2 linked regions of the Rattus norvegicus genome follow. The protein of the gene in region 1 interacts with the protein of each later gene in a pairwise test. Links are inferred from orthologs where the notes say so. Each region holds a gene or a part of one and is shown on either strand. Other genes may lie near its edges.

Region 1 (10,984 bases):
TTATCAGGTTTGGCCGTCTCTCCTGCCTGCTCAACCCTCCACTTGGCTTGTTGCTGGGTAGGCTTGACCTAAGAGAATGCACGAGGAGAGAGCCAGAATTTTCCTTTGATGTCTTAGAAATCAGGATTCCATTATATAATCTACTATAAATCCTGGCCGTCGGGACTGACACCAGCTTCCAAAGTTACCAGAATACGACACTCCCTACTTGATTCATTGTGGATTCTGACATGTCTTAATTAATATGAACTCGGGGCCTCAGCTTGCCAGCGATAAGAAACTTTTCTGATTTGCTTTCTTCATAGCTTTAAGCGTTTCCTTGATTAACTCTGTTCTCCTGAAGTCTAAGCCTCACTTGCTAAATGTTCTGACTGGCTCTTTGCTCTAAGGTTCGACCTCACAGATGTTTCCTTGTGGTCACAGAAAATACCTCTCCTCTGAGAATAGGTTTGATACTTTTTTTAAAAGACAATAAATTTTGAACAGAAGAACTGGACGAAGAAGTCAAGTGCAGGCTGTTAGCTATTCTTTTATACTTTTTATACCTGCTCGGTGTGTTCTAGTCTCGAACATAAATGACAGTAGACGACAACGCTCCCTATGAACAAATTAAGGCCTTGCAAAATCCCCAGCCTTCTTCTGTGTAACAACATAAATTTCTTTCCTTGCTCAACATACGAGCTAGGCTTCCCACAAGGAGAAAATTGGCACGTTTAAATGTCCTTTCTACTCTAAACGCTGAGGAAGGAGTGAGATGGACCGAGTCCAGAGGGTGAGAAGGAAGGAGATTGAGGGCCTGTCTCATCGGAGCACAAATAATTTGTGAACTGTCCTCAGTGATTAATTCTCAGCACTTGAACCCTACTTATGCAACTGGAGCACGACAGTGAGCTGACTCTTGGTTTCTGGTTTTTGCCTTTCCTAGAAAACATTTTTCTATGAATCTTTTTTGTTTTTGTTGCACACTAAATTTGAAGCAGCCCTTCCCTTGATTGGTGAATTTTGAAAATGAACCAGAGGGAAGGACACCAAAGCAACATGAGCAATGTCCCTCTAGCAGAGTAACACCCTGTCACCCTCTCCCTGTACTTCTCTGCTCAAAACAGGAAATCTGGGACACTCAGCAGCCTTTGAGATTCATTGTAACTGAAGTGAGATTACTGACTGTGCAATCCCTGTCCCCAGTAGACAAGCATTTTCTTCTACAGCTGTCACCGTAACATTTTACCATACCTTACTCCTTTAAAGGACAAGATAAAAGAGAAAGGGAAAAAGCACACCCTCCTTCCACCCCTTTTCTTTGGACCTCCAGTCACTGGACTCAGTGACTTCCCTAAGAGAGCCTCCAATGACATCAGTCATCTTGTACTCCCAGACTGGCACCTATGGGCTTAATTGTGCATATGCTAATGTCTTGACTCACTATTCCAAACGGAGGTTGCTGAAGACAGGAGGTACAGAAGCAGGATTTGCTACCAACGTTGGGGTCATACCCGGTGTGCCATGCCTTCACTTACTTGCTAGGGAATTGGGCCTCCAAAGTCAAAGGGCTGCTTGAGTACACAGTGTAAAGTGCATGTTGGAGTACATGGTTGACAAGTATGTATAAATTACCAATAATTTCAGCAGTTTCCATGTCATACAAATAGGAGCTGTTTTCTTATGAATCTATATTCTATCCAAATAAGATTATTTTGCTATAAAAATACCCCAGGGAGAAAAGCATTTTGCATATAAAGTGTGCTGTTTAGTCCCTAGTGATCCCTGAATGGAACCTTCTAGCAGCCATTTGGCAGCTACTTGCTAGACCCATCTTTGAATTATAAAAATAGCAAAATACTCAGCATACGCCTGTCTGTCTGTCTGTCTGTCTTCTGTCTGTTCATTGCTGGAAAATAAACACAGGATCTTGCATATTCTAAGTAAGCTCTCTAATACTGAGTCACATCCCTCACCCTTTCCTAACTGACTCTTTCGAGAAGGGGATTAGTTTCAAGTTTCAAAGCTGGTATTGATCTCACCATATAACCCCTGTAGACCTTCCAATAGTGAATCTCCTGCCTCAGCTTCCTGAGTAGCTGGGATTGAAGGCTTGCACCACCTGGCTCGCTTTACAGTAATATCTTTTGACTCCCATCCCATGCCTCTCTCTACTGGCCATTTTTGAGACTAAGTCTTTAGCCCCCATAAATAATCATAATTCAGAAAGTGGGTCTTAAAAGATTTGCTAAATTGCCCAATTTAAGTTGTTCCTTTTAAATTAGCAATTCACCTCTCCTAAGCTAGTCCAATCATCTCCAAATTGATGTGCTAACTCTTCAACTAAAAACCTTAATCTATTTCCAAAGAGAAGGAAACCTCATTTCATTGCAACCTCACACCAAAATCTTTAATGCCTCCAATATGAAGTCCAAGGTCCTTAAAATGACATTTAACTTCACGGTCCTAATTCACTGCTAATACCTCCCTGCATACTTCCTACTTATCTTCCTATCAGATCAACTCCTGATCCCCCAAGGTGATTGTCCCTTACCTTGGAATAGCATCTTTTACCCCCTAACATCTTCCCAGGGCAGCATACCCATCCTTCTTGGGTCAAGGCCAAGTGTCATTTCCTGTCCCAAAGTCCCCCATGCCAATCAGCAGTGACTTTCCTGTGTGTCCGTACCATGGCTCTCATCTCTATGAAGTACACATTGCTTTCTACTAAATTAGCATATGTCATGGTTATTCTGTATTGATGACACATCATACTATGTGCCCAACTCTCCACTTCTGATAATAAAAGTCATCTAGAGCACCAAGACTGCATCGTGTTCAATCAAAGGCATCTGTTGCATATTTAATGTGGATGAGTACCAGCCTCTTCATACCACAATGCAACCCTAAGCAAAAACCCACTGTGGGCACCTAGGGCACTTCCAATAGGGTCTGCAGCAGACCCTTTAGAACAGACCTTAATGGGCCACAGTTGGGCTTTGCAATGTTCTCATTCCTGGACAAAATTAAGAATTTAGTAAGTAAGCCAAACAGAACTACATTCTTTTCTGAATAAATTGGATGCCAAAATATCCAGTAGCAAGAGTTCTTGCAAATGGGATTCCCAGTGTCTCTTATTGGAAAAGGATGTGCGAGTGTTGCATAGCTTTATACACAAAGATGCAGAAATGGATTACGGACTACACAACGTGACCAGCTTTACTAAGTTCCCTTTCTTTGTAAGGTTTGATAATAAAGCAAGTCCTAATGAATGACTGATTGTAGCAAATAAAGCTCAGAGGTCAAAGGATGAATGCCATCTTGCAGAGAAACTTAAAATCCCTTGTGGATTTCCTTATCACAATCATCAAAGGAACTCTCCCAGTGAGAAGCAGAGATAGAAAGGGTCTCAAGCCTGTAGGCCCCCAATGCAGAAGGACCAGGGAGGCTCTTCTGAAGGAAGTGGGGAAGGAGATCCATTTAGAGAGTTCAGCTGATGGCCACCTAAGCAAATGCCAAATGCTTTGACAAGAACCAAGGAATAAGAAATCTTAAAACAAAACAAAACAAAACAAAAAACTGGAATGCCACCACTCCAGAGAAGGACAGTTACCAGGGCCACCAACCACTTCGCATATTGACAATCCTTGGACAACTTGAGGCTTCCCCTATGATTGTCCTCTCCTTCCCACCCACCCATCTCCTTGTGATGAGCAGTAGCAAGAAGGTCCTGTGATCCTCTTCACGACAGCAGTGCCATATCCACATCCACTCTCCACAGGGAGACCCCTCCCCCAAAGGGTTGAGAACTGGTGAGTGTGAGAGGGTAAGCCAGATTACACTCCTGAAAACTGTAGTTGAGATAATGGAGTGGCGGCTGTGTCACCAACAAGACTCTTGATTTTTTTTTTTTTTTGCACCAGGAAAGAAAGTGCTTCTCCTACATCGCACGCATCTCACACCACAGAACATCTCACAAGGAGGTTGACACCGCAAGGAAGACATGACACTTTGTCTAACATCCCATCACCACCCGCAGCTCACATGCAAGCTTCATCACACGGCTGGAGGCTGTCTACACACACACACACACACACACACACACACACACACACACACACCCTAGAAAGTCATGCATGAAGTTTTGCTAACCAGAACCCTAACTAGGCTAACCTAGGCTGATGTAGAAGAAGACTATTGAAATGTTGCTAGAGAGACAGAAATCACAGCTATCATAACTATCTTTAGCAAAAGTTACCTGTAAAGTGCTTACCTTTAAAAAGAGCATCAGGGGGTTCAGTGAGATGGCTCAGGGGTAAAGTACTTGCTGAGCAAGCCTGGTGTCCTGAGTTCAATCCCCAGAGCCCATGAGAAGATGGCAGAGAAGTGACTCCACAAAATGTCCTCTGACCTCCACATGTTCACTGTGGAACACACATGCCCCTACACACATATACCTCATGCACACACACACACACACACACACACACACACACACACACACTTTGTTAGGCTCTTTGCAGGAACCTCATAGGTGGTATCACTTTCTCAGTAAACAACAGCCAGTCAACCCAGGCAGAGGTGGATGGACAGGATCACACCTCCTACATGTTTTAGCAGAACAGAGGCATGGTGGTCTCTCTTGTCTGTTTTTCTCTACAGCCTCCCTGTACCCATGGAACAAACTTCAGCTCAACTGTGGCCTCATCTCAAGCACACATTCTGACCAAGTGGACCAAAAGTACAGAGACAGGCAGAGATAACCACCTGTGTTAGCACACACAGCAGGCATCTGGTGGGATGTCTACGGGCTTAGGAGTTTGTATGTCTGAGGACGACGAGAAGCAAGTGGTTCTAAGTCCTAAACTGAGTGAAAGGCTGAAGGAAAGCAAGTTGTCTTATTCTCTTCCTTTACTGTCGTGGGCAACCAAACTGAACAACAACCTTCACGTGTCAAAACAGCACCTCCCACTCATGAATATAACCCTGGCATTCACACTCAATATTTTGCCAATTTTCCTGGTTGCCTTGTCTCTCATCTCTATGTCAGTGTTACTTCTAATTTCTATGACAAAAATCCACCAGTCGCTACAAGACTGGATCCAACCTCTATAGCATTACAGCTGTACAGGGCCTAGAATGGGCCTTCAGGGGCTATTGACAAAATGTGGGCAAACATTTGCCGCCTTTTTTTTTTTGAGAAACAGGAAAGAATTTTAATGAATATAAATAGGTTTCTGATCCCTGAGATGACAGAGGTTCCCACCCTACTGACTTTGTTAAAAAAAAAAAAAGTTCAAATACTTTAAATTGGTACTCCAACATCCGTCCTCTCTGCATACATTATTGTTTCAAATTCAAAACCAAATACATTTCCCATAAACCTTGTGGGTGGAGGTGCTCTGTAAATCTATTAGATTTGGCCCAAGAAGCTAATTTTAAAACATCTGGCACCCTTGAGTGGTACCGCATGTCACGATTGAACATCATCTTAATAAAACCCAACCCTTACATTAGGTTTAAAAAAATTAAAATAAATTTTAACCAGCTAGACTTTTTTGGGCAAGTCAGAGAGAACAAACACTGGCAACTTCTTGGTCAAGCATGAGACTTTCCACTACAGGAAACGGGTGGCTTTCCTGTGGCCAAAATGAAAGTATCCTTTTCTGCCTTTTGTAACTACCACGTCACCGACAAGTGGCACTCGCTCTGTGGCACCGTCCTTAACCCGCATACCACCTTGCCTCAAAAAAAAAAAAAAAAAAAAAAAAAGCAGTTTCCCATGGTTATTTTCAGGTTAGAGAGAACCAAACCCAAACCCACAGGGCTCAGAACTTGCCTACAATTGTAGGGCAACTTCAAGACAAGATGCATTACTAGATTGCGTAGCTTTTCAGAAAACTCGTTTGCCTATTCAGGAAAACAGATGATGGCTTTTTGCAGTCGCTTAGATCAAGCTCACATAAGCTCACGGCACCGAAGATTAAGAAACGAGGTCATGTTGAGACGAGTACAGAGGGAAGTCTGAGCAGGAACTTTTTTAAACTCGCGCACGTTTCAACCATACAGAATCCCCCATAGCTCGACCTGGGACCAATAAATACACGCGATCTGAGGCAGGCAGAGAGAGCCTGTCAGTGCTGCACTACGAACAGATAACTGTGTCTGACTCAGCTGAATGTAGCTCCCAGAGTGAATTTCCATGGGACCAAGGTCAGGTTTAACATGATAACGGTTGCCAGAAACTTTATAAAATATCCCTGGAGCAATGAGCGAGAGAAAAATGGGCATATTTTCACAGAAGTGAACTCTGAGACTCCATCCTGATTGCACACAGTAGCACATTATAGCCGAAAGGGGGGGAAATTGTAAAGAAATGGAGATAAATAGAAGTACCTGCTTTAGAAGAATGTCGCCCAGAGACTGCCTTCTTAGGCTAGACAATGGCAGAGGAGGGGGCATTGGCCTCTCCTGGCGTCACAGGGCTGCTGAGCATGGAGCCTTGTGTTTTCGGTTTTGGTAGAATCCGTTCGGAGGCTGTTATGACCATGAAATTAGGAAATGCAGACTCGGAAGCAAAGAGCTAGCACCACCACTTGACTGGGATTGGAAACTCTGCTCCGGATAATAGGGGAGGGGGTGGCTTTCCTCTCTCCAGCCAGGCCTGATTCCAACTTTCTCAGCGTTTGCCTACAGATAGATGTTTGCAGAGGGACAAGCTTCTGGTGAAGCTAGCTGAGACTTTTTTTTTTTTTTAAAGGTGATCCAACCCATTTTCTCTTTCCTTGCAATAAAGCTCAAAGTCTAGACGAGCATGTTGACTTGGAAAAATAAAATAAGAAAGCGTTCTTTCTGCACACAAATTTTCCTCACCCAAAATTAGCTAAGGGTAATAAGGGTGTTTCTAAGGTGAGCGCTTCTCAGAGTTTCTCTTTCACTCATTGACTCAAAGAGCTAAGCCAGTCGCTCAGCAATTCTTGTCACTGATTAATGGTGTTCCTGATTTTGGAAACTTGCACCAGCTTAGCCCGAGCTAACTCTGAAATCCTTCAGGTGTATGAGCCTTCTATAAACTGCTTGACATTTCCTGATGTGATTTACAAGTCCTGTTTGCTTTGGGGATTTAATCTTGCATTTTGTTTTGTTTTGTTCTGTTTTGTTTTGTTGAGACAAGGTCTCACTCTGCAGTTCAGAGCCTTAAACTCTCAGGATCCCTAAATGCTAAAATTACAGGCATTAGCCAATATGACTGACTTTTTAAAAACTTATTTTGTTTGTTTCTCTTTTCTTTTTTTTTTAAACTCAGAGACAAATTCTCTGAAGTAATAATCTGAGATTAAAAATATATTAAATTTATTTTCCTTTTTGGTACTAGGGATAGGCCCAAAACTTTGATGTGCTAACCAAACACATTACCTCTGATCCACAGACCCTTAATATTTTTAGACCTTTTGAAATTTTAATAGCTCATAAAATCTGTTGTGTTTTATGTAACATGTGCTTTAAATGCTGGGTTGTTGTTTTAATGTCTTGTTGTGGTTTTTTTCTCCTATTCTATAAGTCTGAGAAAGAATGCTTTTCTGGAAATAAGAATGGTAGCAGGCAAAAGACCAGAAGAGACCCCTCTGGTCACTGTCTCAATCCCTATGCATGAACACTGGTGCATGCTGGGTAAGAAAAGCATCTCAGAACTGGCTGGGAAAAGAAAAGACTCCAAATGTCTCATGACTGATGATCTACACATTCATTATAATAAATTGTCGTAGTTGTCTTCGGTTTTCTATACCCTAGTGAGTTTGGCCTCAAAATAATTCAAATACACAAATGTGTCTGAATTTAATTCCCCCAGACCTCACAGAGTGGGATGCGTTTTACTTCTTGTCTGAAATGTTTTATTTCAAATTAAAGAACATTAAACTTAATAAGACTCATTTATAGAAGGAATAATCTTATAGCCTCAGCATGGCAAAGATGGCCCTGGCTTTATTGTTTTTATTATGATTTCCTGTGAGAGGTAAGTGAGTCAACAAAATGTTTTGAATAGTTCAAACATTTTAAAAGCCAAGTGGTTTTTTTCCCTCTAAATTAATTGAATCCCTCTGTTATTTGATTTGCCAGGTTGGATGAATCATGCTTTCAAATAGCATTTAGCTACCTGTTAGAATCAGTTGTACACATCAATCCAGAGAAGAAAATTACCTAAGGCAGGAGTTCTCTAAATAGAACATCCATCAGACTCAGAAGCAAGTGTCGAGTATTGCTTTGTTGTGGAGGGGATGCATATGAATAAGTGGACAGACACAGGGAAGCACACACCTCTGTCCATGATGCAGAGGCCAAAGCAAGACACTGGTGTGCTTCTCTGTTGCTCTCCACAGCGTTTCCTTGAGACAGGGAATGGGAAGCTGGCTGGGCTACTCGGCCAGTGAGCTCTTGGGATCCACCTATCACATGCGAGTACGCGTGCACACACACACACACACACACACACAGAGAGAGAGAGAAAGAGAGAGAGAGAGACAGAGAGACAGAGAGAGACAGAGACAGAGACAGAGACAGAGAGAAATGGAATGTGTAGGTTGGCCGGCATTGCAGCCACACATAGCCATGCCCCGCATCTTTACACAATGCCAGAGTTTCAAACTCAAGACCTCATGCCTTCAGAACAAGCAGTCTTATCCACTGAGCCTTCTCCCCTGTCTCTATGCCCTTTTCTTTGCAAATACACATGTGTAATATAAAAATGTATCTGAGACAGTGTGTCCCTAAGGGACAGTTATAATGCCCCCCTTTGCATTCTATACTATGCTTTCTTAAGTGGGAAAGAATGAAAACACCAGAAAATGTCTTCCAGATGAATGCAGGTGTCTATGGTGTCAGGACAGGTGCTCGAAGCACTTTACAACCCACGAACACGAAGCCAGGTGCTACTGACTGGCAAGGAAGCTATGGGATGCTGAGATTACATACACTGGCTAGAGCCGGTATTCAAACTCAGGGATCCAAGTCAAGCCTCCATGCCATAGACCTCTGCTGCAACTTCTGAGGACACACAGAACCGCACCCAGGCAACAAACATGGAGGTGTGTGTTGTACTGGAGTCGTTCCGCAGTTTAGCTTTCGCATGAGTTCACTACAGATGAGAGAGAGAGAGAGAGAGAGAGAGAGAGAGAGAGAGAGAGAGAGAGAGAGAGAGAGACTGATAGGTAGGTAGGTAGGTAGGTAGGTAGGTAGGTAGGTAGGTAGATGTTTGCCAAGACCAAAAAAACATTGTTTTAAAATATTCTGTGCTTTTTCATGGGGCAAAACTCTCCTTTGATGGAAAAACGTCTAATTAGACTGTATTTAACAGTATTAGACTAACTGAATGATGAATAACAGAGGACAATTTAACTGAAGAAGTGGACGGTGGTACAATTGAAACAAATACAGAACCAATCAAATCTTCAGGACCATTCCAAGTGAAGCGGGGTGTCTCCCTCATTTCCGCACATGTGTACTTCCACATGTAAAATAACCTTTCATCAAGAGCATGCCATCTGCTACATCCTTATCAATAATAAGAGAGGCCCAGCCTATGCGACCCCTCTTCATGTGATTCACTTTATTAAGAAACACCAAACGATGGAATTCTAGAAGTTTTTCTAGGTTACAACCTTGGTTTTTGTATTTTGTTTTTTGGGTTTTTTTCTTTGATACATTCTTTTATTTCCAAAGTAACCACTAACAGCCCAGTTTCCACAGCAAAGGAAAGCAGAAAATTGATGTAGTCTGTCTGGGTCATTCAAGTAAAATCTTGCTATGATACGGGTGATTCAGGCTAAAATATTTTTTTTATTTGGAGTGTGTGTTTTTGTACAAAACCCCAGATGATAGCAGATCTTGAGACTCAAATATATAGGTAATTGCCCCAATTCTCCATTTGTCTTTATTAACCATGCTTCCACTGAGCACGGCTCAAAGGCTCTCTCAATTCCACCACACTGGAGAAAGTAGCCATGAATTTCTGGTTCTCCTTATAAAGAGAAACTCAAATTGAGATCTCCTACCTGGAGATAGCAAACAGTCCCTGACCACTTACCCAGCCACTTCGGTAAAGAAATTGTCCAGTCCATAGCTCCTGTTGCCTGGTATCTTCCTATCTCCTGCCTCTAATTGTTAATTGAGTAACTATTAGGCATCTGCTTGACCAGTGATCTTGCACTGGATCTAAGACATCAGAATTGATTGTTAGTACTGCGGTTTGAATGTGAAATATTCTCCCATGTGTAGTTCTCAGCCAGTGGCTCTCTTTAGGGAGATTGTAAACCTCTTAAAAGTGGGATGTGATTAGGGAATGCAGGCAGCTGGAATCTAAGCCTGTTGGTTATAGCTAAGTCGTAATTCTGGCCTGCTTCTCGAACTCCAGTGTGTGAGGAATTCTAGCCTCTTGGTCCTGTGGCAGTGAACTCCACCAAACCTTGTCCTCTTGATGGACTGGAACCATTCAAACCATAAACCAACATAAGTCTTTTCTACATGAAATTTTTATCTCATGTATTCTATCATGGCAACAAGAAAATTAATGAACATAATAGCCAACTACAGGGGGCTCTCAGGAATATGAATTTTTAAGCTTCGACAGGGTAGTGGGCCTCTGCAAGGACATCTTGGGGTAGTACAGTAGAAGACACAGGAAGCAAAGACTCCTAGTTAAGTGAAGTTATCAATGGGCAGAGAAAAATCAGTCAGCAGAGATTAGCGGGCATTGGACCCTGGACCCACAACTACCTCACTCCATTTGCCACACTCACATAGATCTCACACTCACATAGATCTGACGTTCTGCGGTAACTTATCATTAGGAGGCTGAGGACATCTTCTTCTGTACTTCACGTGCTGTCATAGGAGACACAAAACCCAGCAGTTGTATTTGCAGTGTACAGGGATGGGATGGGGTTGGCAACATCACGATGGTGTGGCCAACATCCAAGGAGGCTACTCCCTTCCCTCAACATTAAAGCTC
Region 2 (10,284 bases), on another chromosome or scaffold:
TAGCGAATATACTCAACATGGCACGGACATTGTTTAGCTGGTGACAGAGTGAGAAACAGGGACGGATGGAGCACTGCATGTGCTGTGACAACAGCAGACAGAACAAGCGCAGGGTGCGAGGACAGGCGTAGAAAAGGGAACCAGGATTTTACTCAAATGCGTTTAGAGCCTTTCTGTAGATACAAATATATATATATATATATTTATCCAAAAATATGTTTTATACAGATAAACATTTCTCAATTAAAGATGGGTCCAAAGCTATAACATAAAGCATGTCTTCTGTTAAGACTATCCACCTGAATTTTCAATTTCTTTAAAGTTAGTGCATTAGTTTCCCAAATATAATTACCTGACCTGTTTTCTACAGATGTAAATCAAACAGGCATTACTTCTTTAAAGGGCTTGCAGGTTAACTGCTATCTCATTAAGATGCTATGTGCATCAAATTTACAAGCAGCCCGGTTAGGTACTAAACATATCAAAAGGGCTACACGAGTTGACTATTCCTCCTCACAGGAAACACTGTCTGACTGCCAGACGATAAATGTTGAAATGCACAGACTTTACTTCCTAAGTACTTCACTTCCTTATGCTAACGAGACATCTGCTCCAGTAGATGACAACAGACCTTGCAGCGGCTATCAGGACATTTTAATGGGATGTAGCATGTACAACCACGACTTAGAAAATAAAGCACACAATTATTTGGGTGATTTTACAAATCTTTTTTTTTTTTTTTCAGGTGTAAAGGCTACAAAAAACTCCTAAAAATTAGAGAACACTGAAAACATTAAAAGTTTGACATCTGACTTTATAGTATTTCCATTTCACCCTGAAAGACAACTTAAAAAATACGACCTTCCTAGAACAGGTCACCTTGCTATAATATTGTAAAAAATTGGTGAGAGCAAGAAAAATGTTCACTGGTTATGTGTGTGTGTGGGGGGGTGTTTGTAAATGGTTTCTCCCTAAACCATTAGGGAAAAACATTAAAGACAAAAAGGAAAAACAAAAAAACAAAAAGGTGGTCCCTAAACTATTTGAAGGCAGGTAGCTGAGTCTAAGCTAAAGTATTTCTCAGTCAGAGTAATCAATCACCTCAGAGTAATCAATCACCCTCCCCTCAGACGCCCCTCACAATGCAGGAACAGTGCAACAGCAAAATCAAAGAGCAAACTGTATTTTCAAGAACAGAAGAGTCGCTAGTGCTGAAGGACAGAGTAGAAAGCAGATTCTTTGGGGGACATCAGTCAGTCAGTTTCCGGCCCATTAGGAAGACTTCTCTTTCCTGCTCCGAGGAGAGTCGGCTCCATTCGACGTGACCGTGCCGTTCACACCATTCTCTGAAACGAGACATGACAGCGGGCGTTGTTCTTGGCATCATAAGCTAATGAGAGCAGTAACTGTCAGTCACAACGTCTCTGCAGGGACGGGGTGAAGTCCCAAAGTCTCAGGGAAAATCTGTGATCTCTAATGTGAAGGAGGGCTTGGGAGCAGGAAGTTAAAGGGAGGTGAGTGCCATTAAATCGAGTGAAGGGGCGGGGCAGGGGACTGGTGAACTCACAATGTTCACAAACATACTCCTCCACAGCAGTCCCCACAGGACATGGGGCTCTCTCCCACTGCATGGCAAAGCCATTTGGGTTATTTCTTTATAAAACAGAAACGTTATTAGGGATGGAAGCATTTACAGCTGAGGGTGAACTGACAGTGAGCCCGCTGTGGTAGCACACACTTCAATCCTGGCATGCGGGAGGCAGAGCATGTGGGTTCACATCCATATATAGAATATGTGACCTGTGGGGCACACAGAAGCATTTATTGAACTTGGGTACAGGCTGAGCTGTAATCCAAGTCTCAGCAAATTTTAGGAAGGAAAATCCTTTGAAGGGTAGTCTTAAATCACAGTGCAATTTAGACACCAGAAAGAGGACAAGCAGGAAAGTTATGGCTCCAATGAGAAACCAAATTAACAACTAGGAAGTGTTTGGAGCCAAACAGCGCTCAAGGCTTGAGGAGTGTAGCCAACACAGGATGAGGAGATGGTTTTCCCTCAACTCTGGATGATTCTCAAGGAGCAGTGAAGACCATGACCAGAAGTCAAGAAGGGGACCCCCAACAGCAAAAGAGCCAACCAAACTTAGAGCTGGAAGCGTGAGTAGGAACTGACATAGTAAAGACAGACAAACATGTAAAGAAAAAATAATCAAGAAAGACTTAAAAGTACTTTTGCGTTGTTTCAGCACTAGAAATTTTTTTTAAAGAATTATTTATTTTATGTATATGAGTAAGTACACTGTAGCTGCTGTCTTCAGACACACCAGAAGAGGGTGTCAGATCCCATTACAGATGGTTGGGAGCCACCATGTGGTTGCTGGGAATTGAACTCTGGATCTCTAGAGAGCAGTCAGTGCTCTTAACCGCTGAGCCATCGCTCCAGCCCTCAGTGGTGGATCTTATACCCTGGAATTCACAGATTCTAGGTGGGTGCCCTACCTTGAGCTACATCTTAGCTCTTAACATGCTGGGGTTTTGACTAAGAAGAAAAACAGGCATAAATTCTTGAAAAAAAAAATCACAAGTTGCTGGAAGGGAGAGGTTAAACAGAGACTTAGTTCCTTATCTGGAGTGTAAACCTGCAAAGATGGAGTCACTGTTAAATCTCCCAACAGCTAACAGCACCAGACTGACCAAGGGACGGACAGATTTAATGCTGTCTATAAAGCTAGCAGAACTGACAAGGGGGAAACGTGCTAATTATAGGACACTCTTTTATAGGAACAGATGGAAAAAATCCTACCAAACAATCAAAACCAACAGAGCAAAGGTACAGTATCATCTGTCCCTAACATGGGTGTATGCCAGGAAGGAAAGAGGAGAGGGGGCTGGGGACAGTCCTTGCAGCATCAACTTGAGGAAGGACTGCAAATGTCCCCACCCACGTGGACTGCTGTGAACACAAGGACCTGTAACTCCTTGTGTCCCACAGTGGGGACAGGAGGACTGTTGGGTCTACTGGCTGCCATCCTCAGTCCAGATTCAGTAAGAGGCCCTGTCTGAAGGGAGAGAGGCAGAGAGCAAGACAGCAGCGTTCTTGTGGGTCTCTACACCTGCACCATGCCAATCCTGTTCTCAACTCAGGACAACACAACATGAAGATTCTGGATTGGCAGGAACTGCATAAACTATTTTCACTGATAGATGATCCAAAAGAACTCACATTCACTAAACCACTTAACCCAAGTCCATCAAAGACTGCAGGAGACCAGATCGATTTGCAGAATCGACTGCACTTGTATACTTTGCACTGTACAATCGGAAAATGAAATTAAGGAGATGATTCTATTTTATAGCATCCAAAAGAGTAAAATATTTAGGGAGAAATTTAATCAAAGTTCTAGACATTTAGGTTGATAACTATAAAATTTAATTGGAAGAAATTAAAGAGCGGAATAAATGGAAAGACATCCCTGTTCATGCTCCCCAAGGCAATTTACAGATTAAAGGATTCTGAAGCAAAACTCCAAGTGCTTTTTGCACACACTAAAGGGAGGGTCCTAAAACTCACACAGAAATGCTAGACACCTGAAATGACCAAAACCTGAAAAGGAAAAAAACTGGAGAATCTTCCAGAGCCTGTAAAAACAGCCAGGCTGTGAGCTACCCACCCATCACCACAGCAAGGCAGTGAGCTACCCACCCCTCACCACAGCAAGATAGTGAGCTACCCACCCCTCACCACAGCAAGGCAGTGAGCTACCCCCCCCCCCCCCACCACAGCAAGGCAGTGAGCTACCCACCCCTCACCACAGCAAGGCAGTGAGCTACCCAACCACACAGACACATCAAGGGGGTGTCTACCCACATAACACAGCAAAGCACTGCACTGTTTGCACAGTGGCAGGCTCTTAAACACATCTGGCAGAGGCCAGAGCTCAGATGGGTCTCATCCTAAACTTCATCACGGAGAGAACGAAGCTGGGAAGGTGCAGCTCCCTAACATGGTGTCACTATGCAGCAACAGTCTGGCTCGCCCTAATGACCCGCAGCTCCTCAGCAGATGCTCACCCAGGAGACAACGGAGGAGTGTGCAGACAAAGACAAGGGTTGCTTACCTCACCTTACTGCTAAAAAAAATTCACAGAACCCCAATGTCCTCCAGCCAGCCAAAGTATGGCATGTTCACACACGTAGCCTGACGGCTCAGCAGGAGAAGGTGCGGCTGCCAGGTGGGTGGGCGGGCGGGCCTGAGCTCCGCCTCCAGGCCCCAGAAAGCTGAAAAGGGCTGCTCCCCCAGCCTTGTCCACTGCCCTCCACATGCACACCTAGGCCTGTGCACACTCGCCCTCCATAAATAAAAATGTAATTTACAAAAATGTAAAAATATTACGCTATGGTTGACACGGAATCTGAGCGATTGGCTGCTTTGTCAGTCGATCCCCAGAGCCCACGGGAGATGGAAGAACGGCCTCCCAGGGGCCTCTGACCTCCAGACGGCACAGACGCCTCTTCCCAACACACACAGAGGAACACTGTGCCACGAAGCAGTCACGGCTGACCGCACGCTGCTCTGTTCCGTGTGCAGAACTACCTAGCAGAGCTCTGGGACGCAAAAGCCCCGTAGCTATAGCTTCTACCTGTGCTCTCACGACTGAAGTCAATACCAACCTGTTCCTTTTCTGGAAGACCTGCCTTTGGTCACAGCCGGTTTCCTTTTCACGGGAGGGGCCTGGAAGGCAGAATGTTCCCTCCACCTCCGAAGCTGGAAGTTAATGAACTTCCACATCATGAAGGCTTGAGTGATGCAAATGGACGCTAGGACCGCGATCCTGAAAGGCAGGCCGAGGACAGCACAGAAGTTAGACTATGTCAGAAAACCCACGGATAAAGTATTCTACCATGATCTGGATAATGATGAAGACTCTGTTGATGCTTAATGCTAAGGAATTTACTGAGAAATCCATCTTAGAGGTTAAGCAAAGGCTTTAGTACGTCCCATGTGGACAGAAAGCAACAACAGCCCCCAGGTACCCCTCACTCATTACAGGCGACAGGTGAGGCTGACAGCACGGCCAGCAACAGTGGGAGGGGAAAGGAACTGTACCTAACCGCCAACACATTGAAGTTCCCAGTACTGAAGTCCAGCTTCTGGTTCTCTGCTCTTGCCAGGCCAAAGCCAACAGTGAGGACTGAAAGAATTAGGGTCAGAAGTCTTCCCAAAACAAAAAGAACCGCCCAAAGAGAAAACCTGTAGGAAGACAAGCAAAGTCACAGAAGAAAACCGTTTTAGAGACGGTTCTTAGGGACTTAGATCCCCCTGAGCAAATGCGTGTTCTGGGCGTGCACGTGTGTGGCTGAGCCTGTGAAGACTGATCAGTGAGGCGTCTTCCTCAGTTATCCCCACCTTACTGAGACAAGGTCTGCCACTGAAAAGAGAATTCACTGACTGCTAGCCTGGTTCGCCCAGCCCTGGAATAATCTCACTGTTACCCCATACCTGGCTTTCTATATGGGGCTAGGGATCTGAACTTGGGTCCTATTGCTTGCACTGTAAGCATTTTCCCACCGAACCATCTTTCTAGTCCCTAAAAACAGCATTTCTTATTCTGCAAAAGGATTTCTGTATTCAAATTCCTGGGAAACACTACACAATGTGGCATCCTATCAGAGGTTCACAGCATTGGATACCATAGTCAGGTTTTCCAGAACTAATTGAGTATTTTGTTCACTGTGAAGTACTCACAATGTGCTTTAGAACTTATGTTACAGTGAGCGACTGCAACATGCTGAGCACGGGGCCAAGCCAGTGCTGCTATAAACAACCGTTACCAACTCCCTTCTCAGAGGGCCACAGACGTCACCTGCTGCAAGTTACCTTCCCATCTGAGTCTCTATCAAAGTCTTTCCATAGCCTTAAGACTATATCAGCCATTTTCTATTTTCTTTCCGTTTTTAAACAATTTCCTTTATGGTGTGCATGCTGCAGGGGAAAGGACCCATGCATGCCATGTGAGGTCAGAGGGCAGCTGTGTGGATTTGGTTCTCTCCTTACACCTTTCTGTGCTTCTAGAGACAACCTTAGGTCTTTGAGTAGCACCAGGCTGTCCCTTTATTTTCTCCTGAACGTTTTCTTCTTTATTGCTCCTTTTCTCAAAAGAAAGCCGTGATACTGCAGCCTCAGAGACACTCGGTCCAATACAGTGTCCTTCCAGCTGAGAGACACTATTTGGAAGAATAGAGTATAGACTATGAACACTGGTTTTTAAAACTATTTATCTACTCATTTATGTGAACATGTGGGTGTTGTCCGTGTACCATGTGTACGCATAGTGCCTGCTGGGACCACACGAGAACATTGGATCCCCTGGAACTGGGGTTACGGATGGCTGAGCCACCAGGTCGGTGCTGGGAATTAAACCCAGGTCCTCTGCACTGAGTCATCTCTCCAGTCCACAGTACAAATATTAAGTGTGGTTCTGCCTCCTTTTCATGTACTACTAACGCAACTGTAGAATTCTCAAGGACACAGGCATGACAACAACTTAGTCACTGACTGCAAATCCCCAAAGAGAGGACAGCACTTACCCTTTCTGGTACTTCTCGTCACTAAAATAAAATAGACGAGAAATGTGGAAAAGAAATTCAACGAAATAGTGCAGCACCAGAAGAACAAGGCCCAGATGGTTCAAGCTGTTGAAAGAAACACAAAGAAGAAAGGCTAATTACCAACTCAGACAAATTAGCGCGCTACCTGCCAGCCACACCCATGGCCAAACCCCAACTCACTTCAGAAGGTAAGCCCCAGCAATGTGGAAGAGGTAAAGACCGATGTAGACAAGCTGGCGAGGAATATCTTCCTGCAAAGACAAAGCACCGGTGAACAGCATGGTCAGCACTTCCGCTTTAATGGCATCAGCCTTAATGCATTTCTTACATCCAAACGACCTTTCTGCTAGTCACCGACCAAGTCAGTAATGGGGGCAGGTAAAGCCATCACCAAAATCCATGGCCACAAGCAGTAACTCCCTGGGATGCTAACGCAGCATCAACAGCTTTCAGACAACAATTTTCAGGGGGGACTTTCCCTCAACTGTGCACAAACAGGGGTCTGCGCGGCAGTGCTCGCCTACTCCAGGGTTCCACAGAGCAACGATGAACATAGGAAAACTAAGTTCTGCTTCCCGTGGCTGTGGTCTTGGACAAGTCAGCTCAACTCTGCATCTGAAGCCCAAGATACCACCAAGGGAATATCGAAGCGAGAACAGAGAGGCACCGGAGAACACGAATCCCAGCTACGAGTAAGGCTAAGTAGAAACAGCTGGTTGAGGACATGACTACTTCAGGGCACTGAACCAGGGCAAGCCCCACATTGTTCTCCAGTCTTCCTGGAAGCACGGCCATGGGGCCCTTGGGGCTCACAGGTGCGGGGCTGACAACCACACTCAATCTGTGCCGGTCTCTGGTGTGGGGAAAAGGAGAGAACCGAGGCAGCTGGGTAGAACTGGCTGTCTGAGCAGCTCAGAGAGCAGTCTGTGGTGAATTGTGAGTAGGTCACCTGTGGGAAGACGGCTCATCACAGCTGTGGAAACTAGAGGCTAGCCAGACACAGCGGGAGAAGCAGGAGTGCGTGTTCTCTGCACGCTCTTTTCTGTTGTCTTATTTGTTGTGAGAATTGCCTTTTCTACCAGAAGCCACAGTGAGATTTTGCTTATGATTAACACACAAAATGTTTCTAACAGTGAGTCATTTAGTAGTGTTTCAGAGAAAGTTCTGTGGTGTGATTCTGGATGTGTCCTTCCATGCTTGGCCATTTTACTCTCAACACTGATGTCCATACAGCTATAGCAAGAAGGAAATTGTGGACTGACATAAAATTTGGATAATCTCAGGCTGGAGAGATGGCTCAGAGGTTAAGAGCACTGACTGCTTTTTCAGAGGTCCTGAGTTCAGTTCCCAGCAACCACACGGCTGTTCACAACCATCTGTAATGGGATCCGATGCCCTCTTCTGGTGTGTCTGAACAGCGACAGTGGACTCATATAAATAAGGTAAATACATCTTTAAAAACTGGTATGTTTGGGGCTGGGGATTTAGCTCAGTGGTAGAGCGCTTGGTTAGGAAGCGCAAGGCCCTGGGTTCGGTCCCCAGCTCCGAAAAAAAGAACCAAAAAAAAAAAAAAAAGAACAAAAAAGAAAAAAAAACTGGTATGTTTAAACTATGAATTCCGAAACTTCTATTTGTTCTTCTGGGATCTTTTTATTAAAGAACTCTTGTAGATTTTTATTTTCATAAGAAAACATTTCTTGACAACACAAGCTTTATTACAAGTGATCACACGTGGACTTACAAAATGTAAAGATTAAACCGGGTTTAAAAAGCTTTGTGTTACGGGGATGGTATCTGCTGATGATTTTGAGTAATAATAAATGTTTGTGAAAGGCACCACTGCCACCTTAAGATTCTGATCCAGGTCAGGCACCAACTCAGAGAAAGCTTTAGAAGTCCAGAGGGAGGCTGGAGGGGTGAGCAGCAGAGGTTAGAGAGGTGTGTCTGACTGAGGCTGCCAATAAGCAGGGATGGGAAAACCATTTATAAACATTTGATATAACAATCAATTCTATTATCTGTAATCAAAGCTAATTTAATTACCAGCAACAAAACATTTGCTTCCAAGTTCAAACTAGCTAAGGACAGGGTCCCACCTTATTTTGCCCACACAACCCTACTTCAGCCTCCCCAGTACCTGGCACTGTGGTTACTTACACACTATAGGGCCTGGCTAAGAAGTGGCACTGCCAATCTTCTGGGCTAAAGGAGACGTGGGCACACTGAAGTCGCATGACTTAAACATTCCCATCCAGAGCACTAAGCTCTCCCCCCACTCCACTGTTCACACTGTCCTTTCTTACTGCCCCCTCTGCCTGTGAGAGTCCCCCCAATGTTCACACTGTCCTTACTCCCCCTCTGCCTGTGAGAGCCCCCCACCAATGTTCACACTGTCCTTTCTTACTCCCCCCTCTGGCTGTGAGACTGCTGCAAAGCAGTCACAGCACTAAGTTTCTTCCAGGAAAGATTTCTCTCCAAAACACATTTCATAGAGCAAATTTTAAGAAACGGTTTAACACATATGCAGCTGTTACTTTCAAATTATGCTAATTACTTGAAACAGTTACTTTCAACTGTCACGTGTAAGTGTTAAAAATAGTTTCAGTTAAGTTCTAAGTTATGCAAATTAGTCCATAAAAATGAGACCACACTTCTGGAGAAGTGCCATCTGGCAGCAACCGATAAGAAAGAGCTCTAGGAGCTAAAGGAACGACTGCTTTGAAAAGTCCCTTTTTTGCTCACCAGGGTCAGTGCACAAGAGATAGACTTGGATCAATAATGAAATCCAAAGGTATTATTCCCACAGGTATGCAGACACCTAAAGAGAGCTTATAGTAGTTGAGCCCTGTCCAGTAGCCAATCATCAAGAAACTATGATAGTCTCTAGACTGTTGTCCAACAAAGCTTTTCACAATTACACCAACGTTCCCTAATCTGTCCAATTCACAAATAGTGGCACACACATCTATCACTTCCCCTTAGTCAGGAGAGACTGAGGAAGGAAGATCATGAGTTACAAACCAGACTAGGGCCACACAGAAAAACCATGTTTAAAAATGTGTGTGTGTGTGTGTGTGTGTGCGTGTGTGTGCGTGTGTGTGTGTGTATCTTCTATACAAAAGGACAGTTGTGAGCCTCACAGGGATAAGGGGCGTTGAATACGGCTAGTGTAACTATGAAGTAAAACTGTGTTACTTTCATTTCTCTCCTGTGGCTGGCAGCTCCTGTTTTGCACAGCCCAGCCCCAGAAGACCCAAGTCTCACACGAGGAGCTCACCAGACAGGGAAGGGCTCCTGGAAATTGTGGGCCTAATAATTTTTCAGACATTCCAAAAAACGAGTGCCCTCACCTTAATTTGTCTGATCAACTGGCAAAGCATTGCTCTTTATAAAACAACACCATGTGCCAGAGTCCGTGGCTCCTACTTTGGTAGTTTGCTCATCAATCCTAGCAGACGCCTGGCACACGCACAGACCAGAGGGGAAAGGCCTATGTGTACTACATGCTTTTTAAAGACTATCTGTGGACTTTAGCAGGGAAGAGATAAATCTGTCAGTAAGTGGTTGTGATAAATGCACTTAGGAAAACTTCTTAAAGGGAGCTAAGACCAAACCTTCTTTCTGTGGCAAGTGTAAGCCACATAACCAACAAAAAGTAAAATGTACCCACGTGCA

The links. The genes of interacting proteins can lie anywhere in the genome.
Region 2: the proteins of Esr1 (region 1) and Tram1 interact in a two-hybrid assay, tested with the Homo sapiens proteins (2 studies listed by BioGRID). The link is inferred for Rattus norvegicus from reciprocal best matches to the Homo sapiens genes ESR1 and TRAM1.

Annotation. Positions count from the first base shown.
Region 1 is NC_086019.1:43,507,535-43,518,518, reverse strand, and holds the start of Esr1 (estrogen receptor), read right to left. Parts: upstream 6,830-10,984; 5' UTR 6,376-6,829; intron 1-6,375.
Region 2 is NC_086023.1:10,440,184-10,450,467, reverse strand, and holds part of Tram1 (translocating chain-associated membrane protein 1), read right to left. Parts: intron 6,861-10,284; coding exon 6,790-6,860; intron 6,694-6,789; coding exon 6,589-6,693; intron 5,252-6,588; coding exon 5,108-5,251; intron 4,833-5,107; coding exon 4,672-4,832; intron 1,347-4,671; coding exon 1,273-1,346; 3' UTR 1-1,272. UniProt on the Homo sapiens protein: Involved in the translocation of nascent protein chains into or through the endoplasmic reticulum (ER) membrane by facilitating the proper chain positioning at the SEC61 channel.